Pelodiscus sinensis: one gene and its partner. The protein of the gene in region 1 interacts with the protein of each later gene in a biochemical or structural test. Links are inferred from orthologs where the notes say so. Each region holds a gene or a part of one and is shown in the gene's direction. Other genes may lie near its edges.

Region 1 (9,737 bases):
ATAGTGAAGGTAGAAAACATCTCTGATGTTCTGGGATCATAAAGAGTTTTCAAGGAGGAGTTACTTATCTTCTGTCCAAATGTAGTTTTTATTGGAATAGATTAGGTAAAATTTCAACAGTTTAAATGTATTCTTTAGAACAGCTGTTTCAGAACAGGGATGGGCAGTGAATATTGTTAAAATGGTCGTATCCATTCAAAATTCATTTTAGATGTAGTCTATTATGCTGATTTGGTAATTTACAACAGAATATTTGTTTATTTAATTTGGGGAGATTGTAAATACTTTAAAATCTCAATTCCACTGAAATAGCTTTTTACACCGTGAAATCTAGTAGATTTTTCTCCCTAAAATAGTCTGTCCAGAGGTACCTATTTTGAGTCCTCTAATATAATACACAAGGAACTTCTTTTGAGTACTGCAGAATCTCTAGGCATCCAGAAATATAATTTATGCTATCATGTGCCGAAAGTGTCCGTCTGCTTTGTACATTGGACAAACGTCTCAGACACTTCGCCCAAGGATCAATGCCCACAAAACAGATATTAGACAGGATCACAAAGAAAAAACAGTTTCTTGCCATTTCAACCAGAAAGGACACTGTCTCAATGACTTAATTACCTGCATCCTGCTGCAGAAGCCTTTTTAAACTGCACTTGAAAGGGAATCCTCTGAACTGTCATTCATGCTGAAATTCCACACTCTACGCGTCGGTCTCAACAAAGACGCTAACTATCTTACCCATTACAAAGATAGCTTCCCCAATTATCACCTCTTAATACCATTAGCTCACAGACATTTACCTTCCTCCCTTTACCCCCCGCATCCCCCTCCTGTTCTGAAATTTGATTTGTCCTTTTCATATGTGTTCATTTTTTTAATTGTATCCTTTGGTATATATGGTTGTGACTATTTTCTTCCACTATTTGATCTGAGGAAGTGGGTCTGGCCCACGAAAGCTCATCATCTAATAAACCATCTTGTTAGTCTTTAAAGTGCTACATAGTTCTGTATTTTGTTTCAGCTACACCAGACTAACACGGCTACATTTCTATCACTAGGAATTGTCTTGGCACTAAACTCAGTATGACGGGCCCCAGCTTTTTCCATTTCAGTCACAACAAGATGCAATGTGTGCAAGCTTTTCATTGGTAGAACATTCATCTGGTCATGTTACATGTAAACACATTAAGCTTGGCATTCTTATGTAGATGGTTAGTGATTCTTAGGATACCCTGTTAAAGATTCCAGAAAAAAAGTCTTAGAAACAAGCGGCACACTAAAATGTTTGGGCATTGTTAGAACCACATGTTACCAGTTGTATGGTTAGTATTTATTCCCAGTTAACCTACTTTGCTAAATGTAATGTTGAGTACACATCAGTAACTTACCAAATGGTTCTAGTTACCAAACACCCAACGCCTAGGAAATACTGTGTTTAAAAATTAACTTCAAAGGAATCCAAATATCAGGGCACCCAAACAACCTTAACTCTGGAGGGGAAGAAGACATTTTCGGCTCTGTTTTCACTGATTTTTTTTTTTAAAAAAGTGGTTTCTACCACAAGGTAAAGGTAAAGTCAATACTATTCTCCCCTTCACAGCCCTGTGACTTGACCTGACCTAATTTACCTTGTGGTGTCTTGTCTCTGCTATGTATTTACTGCATGCAATCCCTTGGAGGGACAGCACTGAAGTTTTCAACACAAGATAAACTAGGTGAGGTCAGTCGCAGGGTAGTGAGGAAGAGGAGATTGTTGACCTCATCTACTTTGCCTCCGTGTGCAAACTATAATTGCCTAGACTCCACGTAGAGTTTTGCAATCAGACACCTATCACGTCTTAGTTAACTCACCGCCAATAAGACAACAACTTTGTGTCAATATAGGCAAAGCTTTACAGCCGGTCTATGCTACCACTTACGTCAATTTAACCTGTGCCACTCGGGGTATTAAAAAGATCCCGCCCTGTGTGTGATGTAAGTTTAAGTCACCTAAGCACTGTCCAAGTGTTGCTGCTGGCACTGTGTCAGTGGGAGATGTTCTCCCACTGACATAGCTTCCACCTCTCACAGGGGGGGAATATTTATGCTAACCAGAGAGCACTCTCCCAGCAGCATAGTTTCTTCATTGGATGCCCTACAGCTGCATCAGTGCAACACTTCTAGTGTAGACCTGCCCTTAAATAACCTTCATACCTTTCTAGCAGTTCCAGCTCATTAATGTCTATAAACACCAGCATGCTTTCCTTTAGTCAATTTAAACCTTTGTGCAGCTACGTGCTATCCCCAGCAAAATAAGTGCTTTTGGCTCTCTGCTGTTTCAGATATTATTCAGCAATAACTCAGAACTGATTCCACACTGGACAGGTGGAAAACTCCATTTTTATACAGTGTTGAGTTGCAGAGCAGTTTGGAAGGCACAGCTCATGCAATTGAGTGCTCTTCTTTTGGTGTGCATTCAGGATTTGCAGCAAATTGGATATGTGCTACACATTTACCGTATTCATGGAATCTGTTGATATTTTTCATGGTCGCCTTATACTTCTTCCTGGAATGAAGACATAGTCAGACCATGAGAACTCTTGTTACTTAGAACATGTAAACGGAACCCTGCAGTGCTATAAAAACTCATGAAAATCCTACCCAGAAAGACACATACTAGTACTTGTGTGTACTCCTCTACTGGAGGGATCACACTCTTTGTGCTAGTTCAGTTTGGGATTTCCCTCTGTCAATAAACCCACATAAGTGTCTGCCTATTAAGGAATATATTCTCTGTGTTGCCTCAAATAGAGGACTGGGCTTAGCCACCTGTCTTACACTTTCCTGAAAAGTATACGAACCTGGATTAACTACCATAGAAACCTGCCTTTATTCGATGGTGGCCTTGTTGCCTCCTTGACATTCATTGTTTTGAGGGGATTCATGTAATTCAGCATCTGTCTGTGGAAACAATATCCTGAAGGTGTACTCATTTCTCAGTATGATTTCTCATCTCATCCACAGTGTTTCTCAAGTGTCATTTGTAAAATGGGTAGGAACAGTGGCAGACTGGGTGTAGGCAGAGGGTGAAAAATAGAGGTGCTGCATAATTCTAAGTAGTATGTTTAGAATCAATAAAAAGGAGACTATTCTTTTAAAAATTCTAGTTCCTGTATCACACTTCAGCTCTGAAATTTCAATACCAAGAAAGACCCTATAACCCAGCAGTCTGACACCTTGGTCACCAGTAGAGATGTAAAATCCTATTTAATTGGTTAACCTGGTTAAACATATTGTTTAACTGGTTAACCAAATTAAGAGGGGGTGGCAGGGCAGCTCCTGTCTAGCTGGAGTGCCCACCATGCCTGCTGCTGGGTTGGAGCAGCCCTCACCTCACCCTCCCCACTGCAGGCTCCTCTGGAAATCACATGTCAGGCTGGAGCAGCCCCTGGGTGAAGGCTACCTGCTGTGGACAGAGGCAGCCCCTGTCTGCTGTGGGCTTGCCATTGTGGGGCTAGAGCAACTCCCTGTCTGTGGCAGGCAGGAAGCTGCTCCAGCCCCCTCTGATTAACTAGTTTAACATTCACATGCTACTCACCAAGAGCCATCAACCACAGATTCTGATTCTGTCAGGTTGGGTCTCTTGGTGAGTGACCTCCATAAAACATCTTTCTGTTGGGAGCTTTCTCAAGGAACAGGGATGTAGAATAAGAGGTGCTCTATTAATAACTAAGTAAAAACATAGTATTGAAAACCAGAATATTTCTAGTTATAGATTTAGAATTTTAAATGGGTATTTACACAGTAGGTAAAGTTAAGTTATATTCAAGGCCTGTCAACCCGCATTTAGCAAACTACTGTACCCATCAATGGTTTATGTTGTGAAGGAAATGAGCATGAAGTAACACTTTTTTTTTTTTTATAGGTAAACCCAACTAATCATAGACTCCTGTTTGAAGTGTTTGATGAAAACAGATTGGTGAGTGTACTACTCTAGTCCCAGTTGTGTGTATTTTACTAATCACTCAACTAAACTTGGAAGTAACATAGCTCCTGAATCTTAGTTTTTGGAAAATTGGTATACCTTAAATAAAACGTATTTTTTGTTTCAGTGGTTTAAATATGTAAAATAAGTAAGGTAAAGTGAGGTATATAAAGCAGGAAACGTAGGTATTTTACAAGCTGAATATTTATAGCACTCCTCTTGAAACAAAATTATGCAGCTGAGATATTTAGGGAAGGGATACTGTAATTACTGCTTTATTTGTTATTTTTGTACGGTTAACTAGATGGCTAGGCAAAAATATGGTTTGATTTTAGGTATAGTTGATGTAAGGCATCAATGTAATTGTAATTTATGAAAGTAGTTTGAAGAAAGTTTTTAAAAGCAGTATTAATGGAATAGTGACCCACTAGCACTATATTTATTAACAGTATTATAACAAGATGTGGTGCTATATCACAAAATATTTGATTCTTTTAGATTATATAAAGTGCAGTATGTGTCTACCAAACTTGCTTAATATACTGGGACAAAATATGCCATATATATATATGATAGATTGACTATCTTTTTGTCAACTTTCTTTTCTTTCAGTTCCATCAAAGCAAATATTTATGTAATGCAAGGAAAAAGATAGAAACTTTTTTAGGTAACCTTTTTTCAGGGGGGAGAATATAGAGGTTCTCTCATCTAATGATGTGAGGAAATAGATTATTCCATTTCAACCCCCATTAAATGCCTCTAAGCACACTGATCATTTCAGTGCCTTCATATGGATTTATTATTCTATTTCAGAATTACAGGCCTCCACTTGTAGGGAATCTTGAATAACTCTTTCTAGTTTTAAGTTTCTTTTCCTCTTTTCAGGCCAGCTGGCAGAGTGGGACGTCAAAAAATTTGAATAAGTTATATGTGAACCAGCAGAGGGTAGTAGTGTGCACAAGCAAGCTAGTATGTGACAATACAGTGGTGGTTGTTAAAAAGACATTTTTCAACCATTACCACACAATGACATCTGAGAAGTGGTAATTGCCTTTATATCTCATACTAACGTGTAGATTGAGGGAGTATTGAACTGAGTACTCTAAGACTATTTTCTGTAGCATGACTATATTTTTAGGGGCCAAAACAGTTAATTTGTGTGTCTTTTTTTTAATTCCAAGCATAAATACAAATGTAAGCTTACAATTACTAAGATTTGCCCCCAGAATAATTTCTTACGAGTTCATCTTGTTCCTAAACCATCAGTGAGTTGTTAGATTGCAGTAGGTTTGTCACACTAGACTAGACTGTGGTTGCAAGTTGCGTATTTAGTAAAAAAGGGTACTTGTTTATTTAAATAGCCCAGAACCATGCTGTTTTTTGAAAAGTGTATTAAAATAATACTAACACCTGTGCTTGCATGAAGCAATCTACAGTGCTGTTACTGTAGCAAATACCCATGTTTTTCTTGTCGTTGGCTCATAGTCCAGTTAAAACAATAGAGGATTGTACTGGCCCTTGGCAGTTTTATTGTTTAAATCAGCTTTTATTTCTCTTGTACTTGGTTGTTTTTTGTATTTGAAAACAAGCTATTGTAAAACAGTGGTTTTAGGTATCTAGCAGTAGTATTGACCCAACACGTACAAGGGTAGAACTGTTGAAAAAACTGGGGTTTTTTTAACCGTTCATAGGAGCCAAGTTGCCACTCTTTTAATTGAGGTTATTTCAATTGTGTCTCTTCTGTAGATAAACTTTTTGTTTAAACAGATTTTGTTTCTGATTCATGCAAAAATCTTCTAGAACTTCAGTGCACCTCAGTTATGACAACCCCTTTTTAAAGGTTGAGATTCTGCATTGTGGCAGGGCTGAATCGGGATGTTTATTTAAATTTTTGGTTGTATCCCATATGTTCTTCTTTTAAGCTCTTTTGGCTCTTTGCAAGCATAGCTATCCTCCGTGCTGGCAATCAGACTTGTGGTAATATTGCAGACTCTCTCATTGGAAGGCTGCCAACACTGGGCAGCATTTCTGTATGGCACTTAAGTAAAATAATTCCAAAATGATATGCACACCCTTCTTCAGTTTTCGTTCGTCTTTGCTTCCTGATAAAACTGGGGGAAAAAAACAACCATCCTGTCTCTTGCCATCTTGTTCATTTCTGTTGCTGTCATTGTGTGAGAAATAGTTGGCATATGTAAGAATTCTTTGTTCAAATTTCTGTATGCAGTATAAATAGGTTATGCTGCATTTATAGTGATAAGGTAAAAGTTATGGATTTTTCTGTAGTGAATAATTTGTTACTTAATCTTTTAAAGAACCAGAAAAAAAACCCTAGAGCATAACCAGGGACTAATATTTATTTGTGTTCTACCATGGTAGCCTAATGTTGAAGCATCAAAACAGAGGAAGCCTGAATCTGTCATCTCAAGCCAGCTCACTTCTTCTCAATCTGCATTTGTGAAGCTGACTTGAACTATCAACACTTAAAGTGCTTTTGTTGCAGTGAAGTTTTTGTACGAAAGTGCCCTGTGAATGTGATGTGGCTGAGATTTATAGCAGTGCCGAGTGTGCTTGCTGCCTTAGTCAGCTGTGAGAGCTCTCCCGCGGGGGCAGCTCTTTTCTGATGGAAAAGGAGCAGCTGTGAAGGTGCTGTTTCAGGCTCTTACTGGTATTTAAAAAAAAAAAAAAAAACTAGCTTGCAGTGGAGAGGGGGAACCAAGTCATGTGATTTCAACCATCCTACCCTATGTCACTGTGTGTAGGAGTGCTGATTGCTCTTATCCAATCATGCCTGGAATGCTGCTTGCCACTTGGGCTATTTCTGCTATCTGTCGCTATCAGTGCTGCAGTACTAACAGTTTGGCAGATGGGACACTTTTTCTTGGAGTTTGTCTTTGTTTTCTAACTTCTGGCAGTGCCTGAATTGTTGCTGTTCTCCCTCTCTTTCTTCTCTCTGTTAAACCATGGCCCATCGGCTGCGGTTTCATTTTGGCTCTGGACGAAGCAACACAGCCCCTGAATCTGAGATCCTAGACCGAGAGAGAGAAGATGACTTTTTCATGGCATTCCACACTTTGCCAAGAAGAAACAGTCCCCATCCTTTCTCCCGACATGGAGCGGATTATGGTGGCGGTGATTTGCAAGGAGTGGGCTCCTTGAAAAGAAGTACATCCATGTTTATTCCTCAGCTTCTGAACAATATTGATGTGCGTCCAACAAGGAGCTCCTCTATGCAGATCTCTCTTCAGCGCAAAGCTGTGAACGGCTGTGCTGATGAGTGCGGAGCCCCAGAGTCTCCTGAGGAGATGCTGCCATGTAAATTCACAGACTCCAGGGAGCATTACACATGCCCAGTTGACAGCCCTTCTTCTTCTCCAAGCAGTCCACAAGGAACCCCAGAGAATTCTCCACCCAGGATGCCTGAAGAGATTCAGGAACAGCTTAATGGAGCTGTTTCCTGTAACCACAGAATATTTTGTACAGTTCCTTCCAATAACTGGAATGATGGGGCAACGACTGCCCTAGAAGACGAAGCAAGCGAAGCAGCTTCAGGGTTAAATCTAAGTGGCGTAAGAATTCAACATCGCGCTTCATGCACAGACATGCGTCAGGTTACGCTATTGCCCTTTGGTTCTGAGGATCAGAATAACTCCCCAGCCTCTGAACCCAGGCGCTGGTCCTTGCAGCACCTGCCAGATGTGTCAGCAAATTCAGGGAAAAAGTTATTTGTTTTCCAGTTGCAGCAATCGCAGGCAAGTGGTACAGGTACAGGAAGTGACTATAATTTTGGTTTTACTGGAACAAAAGGGAATAGATTGGTCAGATATCCTCGTATACGGCTGGAAAGGAGTACTTCCTACCCTGTACAGCCACGACCAGAACGAATTAGCCCAGTAGAAGACAGAATGAATTCAGAACTGCATGGAAATAGCAGAAATGGGTCAGAAATATCTAGAAGTAATTCAGTAGAAAGGATTCCTCAAGGGCAGGGATGCTTGTTTAAAATCAGACCAGATCAAAACACAAGGCAGCAACACTTCAGAATTCTTGTAACCCGTGGTACTGAAGAACAAAATCAAATGACTGATGAAGAGAGCCCTGATATCCCTGGGCCTACAGCCGCCAGTGCCACGGTAAGTAACATGCTGAAAATACTTCCCTTTGTGTTCTAATAAAATATAAATGGCCACACAGAAAACTTTTTCCAATTTTAGGTCACTGAAGAATTTCACTCATTAATACTGGTGAGATCTACGTTTCTCTGGAACAATCTGTAAAGCATCCCTAACTGTAACCTAAAATAGTTTTGCTTCCAGTTATGATTACATTCAGCTCAATGTTTTCTTGGAGTTGTAATGTATCACATGTTGCTTAACTCAAAGTTACGTCAGCTAAAGCGTTTTTAAAAATTGGAAAGCCTAAGTGTCACTCTTAGCAAACTGATAAAGAAATAAAAGCAAAATCTTTACTGTACAGAGATTACATTTTTGACACTAACTTTTCATATTTTAAAATATATTTAAAAGCAAATTATCCTAGTTCAGGACTTTGTGGGGACAGAAAATAGTAAAGAACAAAGTGGTGAGAATTGTTTCATTTCAAAGAACACTTGTGCTCTTGAATGTCTTCAAAACTAAGAACTTTTCACATTGCCTTTTTAGTGTCATATGGAATATGATCAAATTACTGTAAATGAAGTTCAGGCATAATTTATTACAATATCCTGTAATATAGCTTTGATATGAAATATGATGTAAAATCTTATAAAGCCTATTTCTTCTGTTATATGAGAGAGATGAAGTTCTGTGATGTTTTTGATACAGACTTTATAGGCTCATGCATGGGTAAAATTTATGGGGGCATGCAGAGTCATTTGCTTGAATTGCTTTGCAGTGCAATTTAACACTGCCCACTTGAGTTTCTAAGCTCAGTGATGCTGTATATAGAATAGTAAGCACCCTATCTCCAGCTGTGAAAACAGACTCACAGGATCAGCTTTTAGCCTTTATTGCTTGTGTGTATTCTCATTCTCTCGTGCTCTCTTTCAGTGAAATGTAGTACAGAAAGACAGCTGCTAACTACAGCAAGACCATATGATGACTCTGCAGCTTTCATAGCAAAAACTAACAGTATGAACGTTATTCCAAGATAACTAACTTTCTTAGCACTTAACACAAGAACATGAACTGCTAGCCTTCACGGCCTCTGGAGAAAACCTTTTACTTTACTGCTATCCACCATATCATCATACCTTTTCCATATATATGTTTCAATATATTTTTGTTAGCAGCCTGTGGATATTTTACATTCATAGTATTCCTGCTGAAAACATCTCTAGTTAGTCTTTTGTTTGGGTTTCACTGTCACACTCAGCAGTATGTTAAAAGTTTTGTTCTTTCACACAAACATTTTTGTGGCTTCTCTTTTTTTTCCAGATGTTTCTATCTTGTTTACATTAGTGTTTTGCCTGAAGTGTAAACTTTTTATCTGGAAACAGATTTTCCTGAAGACTAGAGTAAGTCTGAATCCTGGCTTTAGGAGAAAGGGGACAAGCTGTAAAGTTTTACGTTTTCCAATTTTGGGGCTATTCACATCCAGGGTTTTGATTGAGGCCCACCCCTTCTCATCTACATGTACAGTTTATATTCTTTAGACACCCTCATCCAACATCCAAGGGTGCACACGGCTGTTTATCTTAAACCATTACTCCACCACACCTTAGTCCAATTCTAAGTGGCCATATTCCACTCATTATCCCTACTTCATTTCC
Region 2 (10,158 bases), on another chromosome or scaffold:
TCATCTGAAAAAAATATTTAAACCTTTCACCCAGCATATTCTGGTGTAAAAAGTAGTGCATTTAGCTAAGTTAAGTAGCAGGATGGTTTATACAAAATTTGATATCTGTAGGTAATTGCAAAGTAAGAGAGGGGTAGCCTTGTTAGTCTGTACTTGAAAAAACTTTTAAAAACAATTAATAGTCCTGCAGCATCATAGAGCCTAATAAAAATGTAGATGGTATCATGAGCTTTTGCAGGCACAGCCCACTTTCTTCAGATGAATGGAGTTTAAGAGGTCCAGGTTCCAAATAAATAGCAGAGAAAGAGGCTACATCTAGACTGCAAGCTTCTTTCAGAAGAAGCTTTTCCGGAAGAGATCTTCCAGAAAAGCTTATTTCGGAAGAGAGCATCCACACAGCAAAAGCGCAATGAAAACGTGATGTGCTTTTTTGAAAGATAATGTCCACACTGATTGGACGTTATCTCACATTTAAGTTGTGATTAGTATGGATGGAATGGCCACCAGGGCACCTGTACTATTTCCTGGAGGCCTCTTTTTTCGAAAGAACTCCCTCTTCTGTGTCTACACATGCCTTTTTCCGAAAATGTTTTTTTGGAAAAAGGCTTCTTCCTCATAGAATGAGGTTTACCTCTGTCGGAAAAATCCCTCCGTTCTTTTGACTTTCTGTCAAAAGAACTCAATGGCAGTGTGGATGCAAGTATTATTTTCCTGGAAAAACAGCCGTTTTTCCGGAAAAACGCTGCTGTGTAGATGCACCAAGAGAGGGGATGGTGAGGGAAAGGAAAGGAGGAAAAAAACGGGAAAAGAATAGTCAGAGTGTCCACCCTAAATGAAGTTAATAAGAGTGGGTTCTAAATACCCATCATTTGGCTTTTTATGTCATTAGGATGTAGAATGTAGGGGGTAATCCAGTTAAGGTCTTTGTTTAAAGCTCTATTGTAGGTATCAAACTTGCAAATGAAATTAAGCTCTGCTGCTTCCCTTTCAAGCTTGTTTTTGAAATTGGCTTGTAATAATATGGAAACTTTGAGATCCATTAATGAGTGCCTGGGTATGTTAAAATGTTCTGCAATAGGTTTCTGTGTGTTACTTTTATGAATATCTGATTTGTGTTCATTAATCCTTCATTGTAGAGACTGTCCAGTTTGGCCAGTATATGGTACATGGCACAGGGGCATTGATGGCATATATCACACTGGTGGATGTGCAGTTATATGAGCCTTTGATGTGGTGATTTATGTGGTTAGGTCCTGTAATGTCACTTTTTTATAGATGTGTGGACAGAGTTGGCTCTGGAATTGATTACAGGGATGGGTTACTGGATGAATATGATGGAGGTGTGCTGTGTGGTTGCTGGAAAGAATTTGTTTGAGGTTAGGGGGTTGTCTGTAGGTGAGGATTGGCCGGTCTCCCAAGGCATGTGAGAGTGAGGGGTCATTTGCCAGGATAGGTTGTAGATGGTTGATAATGAGTGACCCGCCAAGTTTAAAATCAGGTATCTTCCAGCCCAGATAAGAAGGTAGTTTAAGTTTGGTTAAGGAAATATATGCATGATGTCAAAAAAGGCTCTTTTACTAACAAGTACGAGAAAGGGCTAGAATACAAGTGATAATCATGGTGAGCATATTTTCTGAACCAAAAATGGGAACACTTGATATAAGGGCCCTACCATGAATCAAACATTAGTCACGCCACCTGACCTTTAAGGCCCTGCCTGCCTGCCTGAGGCAGTCCCGCCCCTGGGGGTAGTACAGCTGGGGTCAAGATGGACACATGACCAGAAGCAAAAGGTGTCATGAGACCTCTCAAGAACTCCTCTCACCACCCCTCTACCAATTGGGATGGGTTTGGGCCTCATAGGAGGTGCTGGTGTGCTGTGGGGAGGTGATGTGGTGTGGTGTGTGTAGGGGCAGGGTGTGTATGACAGTGCTGTGCCTGTGGGCAGTGCATGTGTATACATGTTGGTGGCACTGTGTATCTGGAGAGGGTGTGTGGAAGTGGTGAAGTGTGTAGGGGCATGGTGTGTGGGGTGGTGGATGTGCTGCTGGTGCTGTGACTAGAGAGGAGCTGTGTATAGTGGTGTGTGGAAGTGGCAGTATGGGCAAGATACATGTATGTGGTAGTGTTGTGCACAGGGACAGGATGTGTGAGGAGGCTCTAGTGGCACAACAGGGCCTGAGGGGACTCGGTGTGGCCCTGTGCACTGGGACAAGGGCTATCATGGGGAGCTGGTGCTGGCTCTTGGCTGCGGGGGGGGGGGGGATCTCTGTGCCCCATGAACTGGGCTGGTGCCAGCAGCTTGGAGCAGAAAGCCCAGCTCACTCCCCTGACTTGGCAGTGGCTTCTGGCAAGTGGCCATAGGCAGGAGCTGAGCAATGAGGAGGTGGGGTGGAGGCTGAGCTCATGACACTCTGGAGCACTTGGGGCTGGGCAGGAAGGACACCCACTTACATCGTCTTATGACAAGCTTTTCCCCTCCGCCTTTTCATCACTGCTGATGCACCACTGCCTACTAATCATTCAATTGAAATTGTATTGTTTCATATACAGGCGAGCCCTGACTTACGACTGCCCAACATACGACTCCCCACATTTATGACCGCCTTGCTTTGACTGCTGCCCTCCCCCGGCACAGCCCCCAGCCAGCTCTGGGAGCACCTCGCGCTGCGGACTACAACTCCCAGCAAACAAAGCGGGCCAGTAACAGAACCCCCATTTTTATCATTGCATCTATGGGAAAAAAGGTTTCAACTTACGTCAGTTCTCCAGGAACCAATTAGGTCATGCGTGCAGGGGTTGCCTGTACATTTTGGCTGTGATTTCAAATGGACTCAATTTACAAAGTTGAAAAGTATTTTTCCTAACTATCAGTGCTGCACATTTCAGACCCCCACAGGAGTCATCAAGACAGATGTATTGTCCAAATGCAAGAATATTTCTGTAGAGGACTGATTGGATGACAGTGGCTGAAATGGCACATGGTGAAGAAATTCATTTTTTAATCTCCTAGTTTCCCTTGTTGTGTGTTAGAATAATTAAAATGCAAAACACATTCAAGATCCATTTACTTAAGACCCAGTGAACTCTGAAGTTAATGAGAATGGAGAGCTCATTGCAGATCTGGCCTTTACAGGCTTTAAGGGAAGACTGGCAAAAGCTTTTTGAAATTATTTTGCTTCATCACTCCCAATGGATAGATAGTAGTTACTTAAGTTTACAGTGTTTGTCAAAAATTGTGCACATTTAAACTCAATTAGTTTTAAACAATACTGTTTTAGGTTCAGCCTGTTTTGAGATTTGTTATATGTAAGTTGCTCATATTTAAAATCTCATCATAGGTCTGTGACCAGAACAGGTGGTTTTTGCTTGGCAGCTGTAATGAGCAAGCTTTCCCCCTGGCCTTGCACAAATGCAACTTTTTAGATCATTTAATTTTAACTAAAGTGCTTGGCTACGTCTACACTGGCATGATTTTCCGGAAATGCTTTTAACGGAAGTTTTCCGTTAAAAGCATTTCCGGAAAAGCGCGTCTATATTGGCACGGATGCTTTTCCGCAAAAGCACTTTTTGCGGAAAAGCGTCCGTGGCCAATCTAGATGCGCTTTTCCGCAAAAAAGCCCCGATTGCCATTTTCGCGATCGGGGCTTTTTTGCAGAAAACAAATCTCAGCTGTCTACACTGGCCTTTTTGCGCAGGACTTTTGCCCGAACGGGAGCAGCATAGTATTTCCGCAAAAAGCACTGATTTCTTACAGTAGGAAGTCAGTGCTTTTGTGGAAATTCAAGCAGCCAGTGTAGACAGCTGGCAAGTTTTTCCGGAAAAGTGACTGATTTTCCGGAAAAACTGGCCAGTCTAGACACAGCCCTTATGTATCTGTTCTGTGCTATCTTTTAAAATGAGTAGATTTCAGTATAGGAAGATATGCAGCCTTTTCTTCCATTATAAAGAAACATTTTGTGATAATTGAGAAAGGAACGTAAGGATTCATTAGTTTTAAGGCAAAATAACTTTAGCTTTAAAGTGGTCCCCCTCTCCCCTGCCCCCCTAGATCTACAGCAGTGTTTCTAAAATCTCTGCCTTCTTCCAAGGCAGGCACTGGTCACTGGTACAGACAGGTGTGACCCTCAGGGCGGCTTTGCCAAGCCCCCAGCTGTTCGCTCTGAGTGCTGCAATTCTAGCAGGGGGCCAGGAGATCGCGAGGCTCTGTGCTCGGGACACTTAGATTCAGGCCATCGGAGCAGCGGTGGGGGCCTTTGGCACCTCCCCCTGCCAGGGCCAGGATTCTCTGCCAGGCAAAACAAAGCTTTGGAAGGCAGAAGCAGGAAGTTCTGAGGTTCCCGCCCTCCAACTTCCTCTGCGACACCACTTCCCAGCCTTGCTCCTCAGCAGCCCCGACCCAGAGCCCCCCAGACTCAAAGGCAACTAACATTGTGCTCAGTCTGTCCCGTATGGACACTCCTAGTGACTGCCCCTGCTGTGAGGCTTTGCTCCTGGTTCCTGTGTGAATGGTTCACACAGGAATTGTCTCAGGTGAGGGTTTCTGCCACTCCCTGAGACAGGTTTCATGTGCAGCAAAGTCCTGGGGATGAAGGCAGGTTAGTTCGTGCCCCTTTGCTTTGGGAAAACACCCCACCCCACGCAATGCTTCTCGGCTATTCATACTGAGCCTCTGCAGGAGCAGAGCTGGGAGTTGGGTAGCACCAGGCCTGAGCACAGCGGCTACGTCTACACTGGCCCCTTTTCCGGAAGGGGCATGTAAATTTCAGCAGTCGTCGTAGGGAAATCCGCGGGGGATTTAAATATCCCCCGCGGCATTTAAATAAAAATGTCCGCCGCTTTTTTCTGTCTTTTAAAAAAGCCGGAAAAGAGCGTCTAGACAGGCCCCGATCCTCCGGAAAAAGTGCCCTTAAGTAAGAATAAGAGCCTCCGGAAAAGGGCACTTTTTCCGGAGGATCGGGGCCAGTCTAGACGCTCTTTTCCGGCTTTTTTAAAAGCCGGAAAAAAGCGGCGGACATTTTTATTTAAATGCCGCGGGGGATATTTAAATCCCCCGCGGATTTCCCTACGACGACTGCTGAAATTTACATGCCCCTTCCGGAAAAGGGGCCAGTGTAGATGTAGCCAGCATGTCCCTGCATTTACGTTGCCCCATCTCTTGGGAAGGGAGGGAAGAGCTGTGCAGAGGAAGCTCCTATTGGCCAGATTCTGCACAGTGCTCTCCCTCCCCCCAGAAGCTTTCCCCTTTGCTCCCATGCCATGGGCTAGATTCTGACCCATGGGAACAAAGGGAAAAGCCTCCAGGGAGTGCTGGGAAGCTGTCTAGGGGGTGGAGTAAAGGAAATGGCAGCATGCACAAGCTGCATCTAGCAGGGAACTTGGGGGCTTTCTTTCCCATGCACTGATTTCCAGATTTCACTGTTGTAGAGAGACACTGGGCTAGGAGTTTTAAAATGGGAATTGTCCTGGAAAAACTGGGACATATGGTTTGCATAGGCAAGAAGCCACAAAATGAATTTTGGAGGATTTCTGGTCAAAGAATAACTAATTATATCAGAGGAAGTTTATAAAAAGGCCTCTGACTGAAAGGGGTGAATGCAGTTGGTTTTTCAATTAAAAAAAAAACACCAAATCTTTCCTAAAAGGAGTCGTCATGGATCTTTTCACCCCACAGGCTAGTATTATTTTCTATGTAAACCTTTGGCTGCAACAAAAAACAGGAAAAAATAAGAAGGTTGTAAATCCTATCTGGATTAAGACTGGAAGTTAGGATGAACGGTCTCAAATTGTTTTTAGCTGAAGTCAGTGATAGCAATGGCATCACCTGTTTGTTAAAAGGTATAAAAAGGGTTCATTGCTAAATATATTGGAGCAGACCAATGTGCGTGTGAGTACCACTGGGTTCAGCCATTTGTGAGTACCTTTAAGTACTCATGAACGCTTTTTTTCATGAACGTTTTGTTACTGTTTGTAAATTGCTTATGCGTGAGGCCTGAAACCTGTTTAGAGCCAATGCATATATATGTGCAAGAGCAAGCTAATCTGCATAAGAGGTAAAAGGCCGGGAGTGGGTGCGGGGGCAGCGGAGTACAGGGCGCGTAAGCGCTGCGGCGATTGGTATCCGCGCTGCGGCGCAGAGCGGGGTGCCGGGAGGCTCAAGCAGCGGGGCAGGGCGGGGGGGCAGGACACACGCCAGTCACCTGGGGGGCGGGGGGAGAGCTGCAGGCAGGGGCCGGGCGGTGGTGATGCGTGTACTCGCTTCCCCTCCCCCGCCTCTTATTACGTGCGTCACGGGGAGGGGGCGGCGCCTTAGTGCCCCTCGGCCGCGGGGGGAGCGGCTGTCGCGCGGCGCCCGCCCCCGGAAGGCGGGTCGGAACCCAGGCCGCATCCGGAGGGGGAGGGGCGGTGGGCGGAGGAGGAAGGTAGGGCCCGGCCGCTGCGGCAGGGACCCAGGGCGGCAGCCGCGGAGGGATCGCGAGCAACGAGCGGGTGCGGAGGAGTCGGTGGTTGGGCCGCGCCTGTGTGTGTCCGCGGGCGGCCGGGATGGAGCCCGCCAGCCGTTACCAAGTGGTGAGTGACTGGTCCGTCTCCTTCCGCCGCGCGGCCCGCGACCCCCGTTGCGGCCCGGGCGGCTCTGCGGCCACCGGCCGGAGCCTGCCTGCCTTCCCGGCTGTGCAGAGACGTGGGGCCCGCCGCCGTGGGGACTGTGCACAGCGAGCCTGTCACGGAGCAGCCGGCCTGGGTCGCGGTGTCGCCGCCGGGAGAGGCGGGGAGGGGTCGCTGGGCCGGGGTCGGGGCGGTGAGTGCCCAGCTCCCGCCAGCCTCGCGCATTTGGGGGCCTCAGCGAAATGGCCCCGCAGCGCTTAACCTTGATCCCGTATCCGTGCCCCGGCCGCCCGCCGAGGGGCTGGCACTCGCCATCGCCCCGCTGGACTCGGCCACTCTCCCCCTGGCTGCCGGGGCGGGGGGTGACTAGTGCAGGTTAACTCGCAGGCCCACGGCTGCAGTCGACAGAGCTTTTATCCAAAGGGGAAGGAATCTCAAATTAACGACATTGTTATGTCTGCCCCACCCACCTTGAGAACATGGAAGGGAAGCGACGAGTGACGGGGTAATTTCCCCAGTTCCTTCCTATGTGGGCTGGCCTGAGGTGGTGCATTTTTTTTTCTTAAACGCTCTTCTGAGTAATCTGTGGTTCTCTGGTTTGGGGATGTAACATGGGGTGTAATCTCTCCTTGGGAGACCCATTCTCCAGTCTTTCAGAGAATCCCCTTCATTAACTTCTAGGCGTAATGTTCCTTTCCCACCGTGTGGCTACTTCCTTTCCCAAAGCCAGAATCACAGATGACAACCCTTCAGTCATGAATTGTGTTGTCTTTCTAGTCACAGTACCTATATTTAACAGCACATAAATTACAGTTGTGAAATGGAGGCTCAGCAATAATCACAAGACTGACTTAGAGGAAGTTTTAACCTTATTGCCCTTATCCATAGTCTTGTGTTTCGTGGCTTTTAATCATATTTTTAAAGGACCATAATGTTTTAAAAGGTTAATTTGTGTGACCAGTCATAATTCAAATTAATAAAATGTAATTTTATATTCAAGGTTTCAAACTCAGAAGTAAATAATGAAAACAAGTCAGTTACACATACTTTTAGTCCATTTCCTCATCTTTCTGGAGCACAAGACCTAACCTGTTTGAATGTAAACATTTCTTGTGTTTATGTAATGGAAAATAATTACAAATATTTGTTTAGGTATTTTTTAGGACTGCATCAAGGTTGTTTGTTCAAAACTTACAAAGTGATAGTTAACTCTTCCTTTGATGGTAGCTGTGCCTTTCATGTTTTACTTGGGTGCTTACTATAGGGCTGTGGTCACCAACCCGTCAATTGCGATCTACTGGTCAATCCAGGGGGCCCAACTAATCGATTGTGAGGCTTTTTGGGGGGGGCTCTCACGGCCCCCACCCCCCAAGATGAATGTTGTGCTGTTGCTATCTCCAGGAACAACGGAGGTAGCACGGACTTCCAGCGGGGTGGGGAGAGTTGAAGTGTGCGGACTGCTCTTTCTCTCCCCCCCCCCCCCCCCCCCAACAACCGGCACCTAAAACCGGAACCTAAAATGCCGGTCCATTGCACGCTGGGGACTTTGTTCCCCTGCTGCCTTCCTGCACATGGGGAAGGGGTTGGGTGTCTTGGACTGTGCCGGTTCTGGCTGCTCAGGCAGCGCTTACTGCCACGCGGAGGGGAGGAGTAAGGCGCAAGCTTCGTGAGAGGTTGCAGTCTGGGACTCCCCCCTCCTCTGCAGGCAGGCAGCAGGAGAATAAAATCCCCAGCATGCTGGCTCCAGCTGCTCAGGCAGCATGTGCTCCCCAAGCAGCTGGAACAGGCGTGCTGGGGATTTTATTCCTCTGCTTCCTGCCTGGGGGGGGGGGGGGGGGGGAAACAGGCTCGGAATGGGGAGTCCCAGATCACACCAGCCCCAACCACTTGGGACGCTCATGTTGCCTGAGCAGCCAGAGCTGGCGCAGTCCCAGACCCCCTGCTGCCTTCCCGCACGCGCGGAAGGGGTTGGGTAACAGTCCCCAGCGCGCGATGGACTGGCATTTTAGGTTGGGCCTGGTGCGGTCTGGGACTCTTTCTTCTCGCCCCCCTCCCCTCTGCCCTCGCCCTCCCCCTCCCCTTGATGGAGTTTGTGCTGTGATTGGCAGGTGGAAACTGTTGGCTTCTAATTAAAGTTTGAATTCTAGAAGCCTCTGCTGATTGGCTGAGCCTTGGTAGGGGGAGGGGCTTTATAAGGCAGTGGGCAAGTGACCAAGGAGCTTGCGAACAAGTGATTGCTAACAGGGAGTTTTGAGAGGGAGATTGGAAGGGGAGAGGGAAGGGTGGGAGGTTCTCTTGCCTTTCTTTTTAAATCCATTTTCCAGGACAGCAGCGATAGTTGGTGATGGGTCTGCGGTTGTTACCTGCACAGCGTGTGCCATGTTTGTCTTACTCCCGGAAGAAAGAACGGATTTCATCTACACCAAGTGCAAGCTGGTCGACACTTTGGAAGAAAAAATTAGAGGACTGGAGGCCCAAGTGTCGACCCTACGCTTGATCAGAGAGGGTGAAGACTTCCTCGATAGAAAGCAGCAGTTAATCCTTCAAGCACGGCAGGCAGAAGAGCCAGAGAGGGCAGTACGTGACCAAGAAGAGAACTGGCAGCATGTAACTTCTAGAAGGGGAAAAAGGCCAGCACGGGAATCCCCCGATGCTATAGAGGTAAGCAATCGCTTTCAAGCTCTCTCCGCAGGCTCTGAAGTGCTGAAAGCTCTGGAAGGGACCTCACAAGGAAGAAACCAGAAGGGAACACCATCTACTGGAAGGCATGGGATGCGTAGTCCTACGGATGGAGGTTCCACGGCCACCACGCCCAAAAGGAAACGACGGGTGGTGGTGGTCGAGGACTCCCTCCCAAGAGGGACTGAGCCATCCCTCTGCCGTCCGGACCTGGAATCTCGAGAGGCGTGCTACTTACCGGGAGCTCGCATTCAGGATGTCACTGAGAGGTTTACCAAGCTGATCAAACCTTCGGATCGCTACCCCTTCCTGCTTCTCCACCTGGGAACTAATGATACAGCCAAGAATGATCTTGAGCGTGTTACTGCGGATTATGTAGCGCTAGGAAGAAGGATCCAAGAATTTGGAGCGCAAGTGGTATTCTCCTCCATCCTCCCTGTTGAAGGGAAAGGACTGGGCAGGGATCGTCTAATTGAGGACTTAAATGCGTGGTTGCGCAGATGGTGTCGCAGAGAGGGCTTTGGTTTCTTCGACCATGGGACTCTGTTCCGGGTGCAAGGATTGTTAGGAAGAGATGGGATCCATCTAAGGAAGAGAGGAAGGAGCATCTTCGCGGGCAGGCTTGCAAACCTAGTGAGGAGGGCTTTAAAGTAGGTTCGTCGGGGGACGGTGACCAAAACCCTGAGGGGAGTGGGAAAGTCGGATACCGGGAAGAAATGCAGAGAGGAAGGGGCAAGAAAGGAGGACCCATGTTATGAATGGAGAAGATAGGATAATCAACTGGTTACCTGAAGTGTTTGTACACTAATGCGACAAGCCTGGGCAACAAACAGGAAGAACTGGAGGCCCTGGCCCAGACCAAGAAATATGATT

What was found.
Region 2: of the proteins of NEDD4L (region 1) and NDFIP2, one has a biochemical effect on the other in vitro, tested with the Homo sapiens proteins (2 studies listed by BioGRID, with this or other methods). The link is inferred for Pelodiscus sinensis from reciprocal best matches to the Homo sapiens genes NEDD4L and NDFIP2.

The regions. Positions count from the first base shown.
Region 1 is NC_134716.1:110,159,908-110,169,644, reverse strand, and holds the start of NEDD4L (E3 ubiquitin-protein ligase NEDD4-like), read left to right. Parts: upstream 1-5,098; 5' UTR 5,099-6,930; coding exon 6,931-8,100; intron 8,101-9,737. UniProt on the Homo sapiens protein: E3 ubiquitin-protein ligase that mediates the polyubiquitination of lysine and cysteine residues on target proteins and is thereby implicated in the regulation of various signaling pathways including autophagy, innate immunity or DNA repair.
Region 2 is NC_134711.1:264,576,184-264,586,341, reverse strand, and holds the start of NDFIP2 (NEDD4 family-interacting protein 2), read left to right. Parts: upstream 1-6,342; 5' UTR 6,343-6,543; coding exon 6,544-6,570; intron 6,571-10,158. UniProt on the Homo sapiens protein: Activates HECT domain-containing E3 ubiquitin-protein ligases, including ITCH, NEDD4, NEDD4L, SMURF2, WWP1 and WWP2, and consequently modulates the stability of their targets. As a result, may control many cellular processes.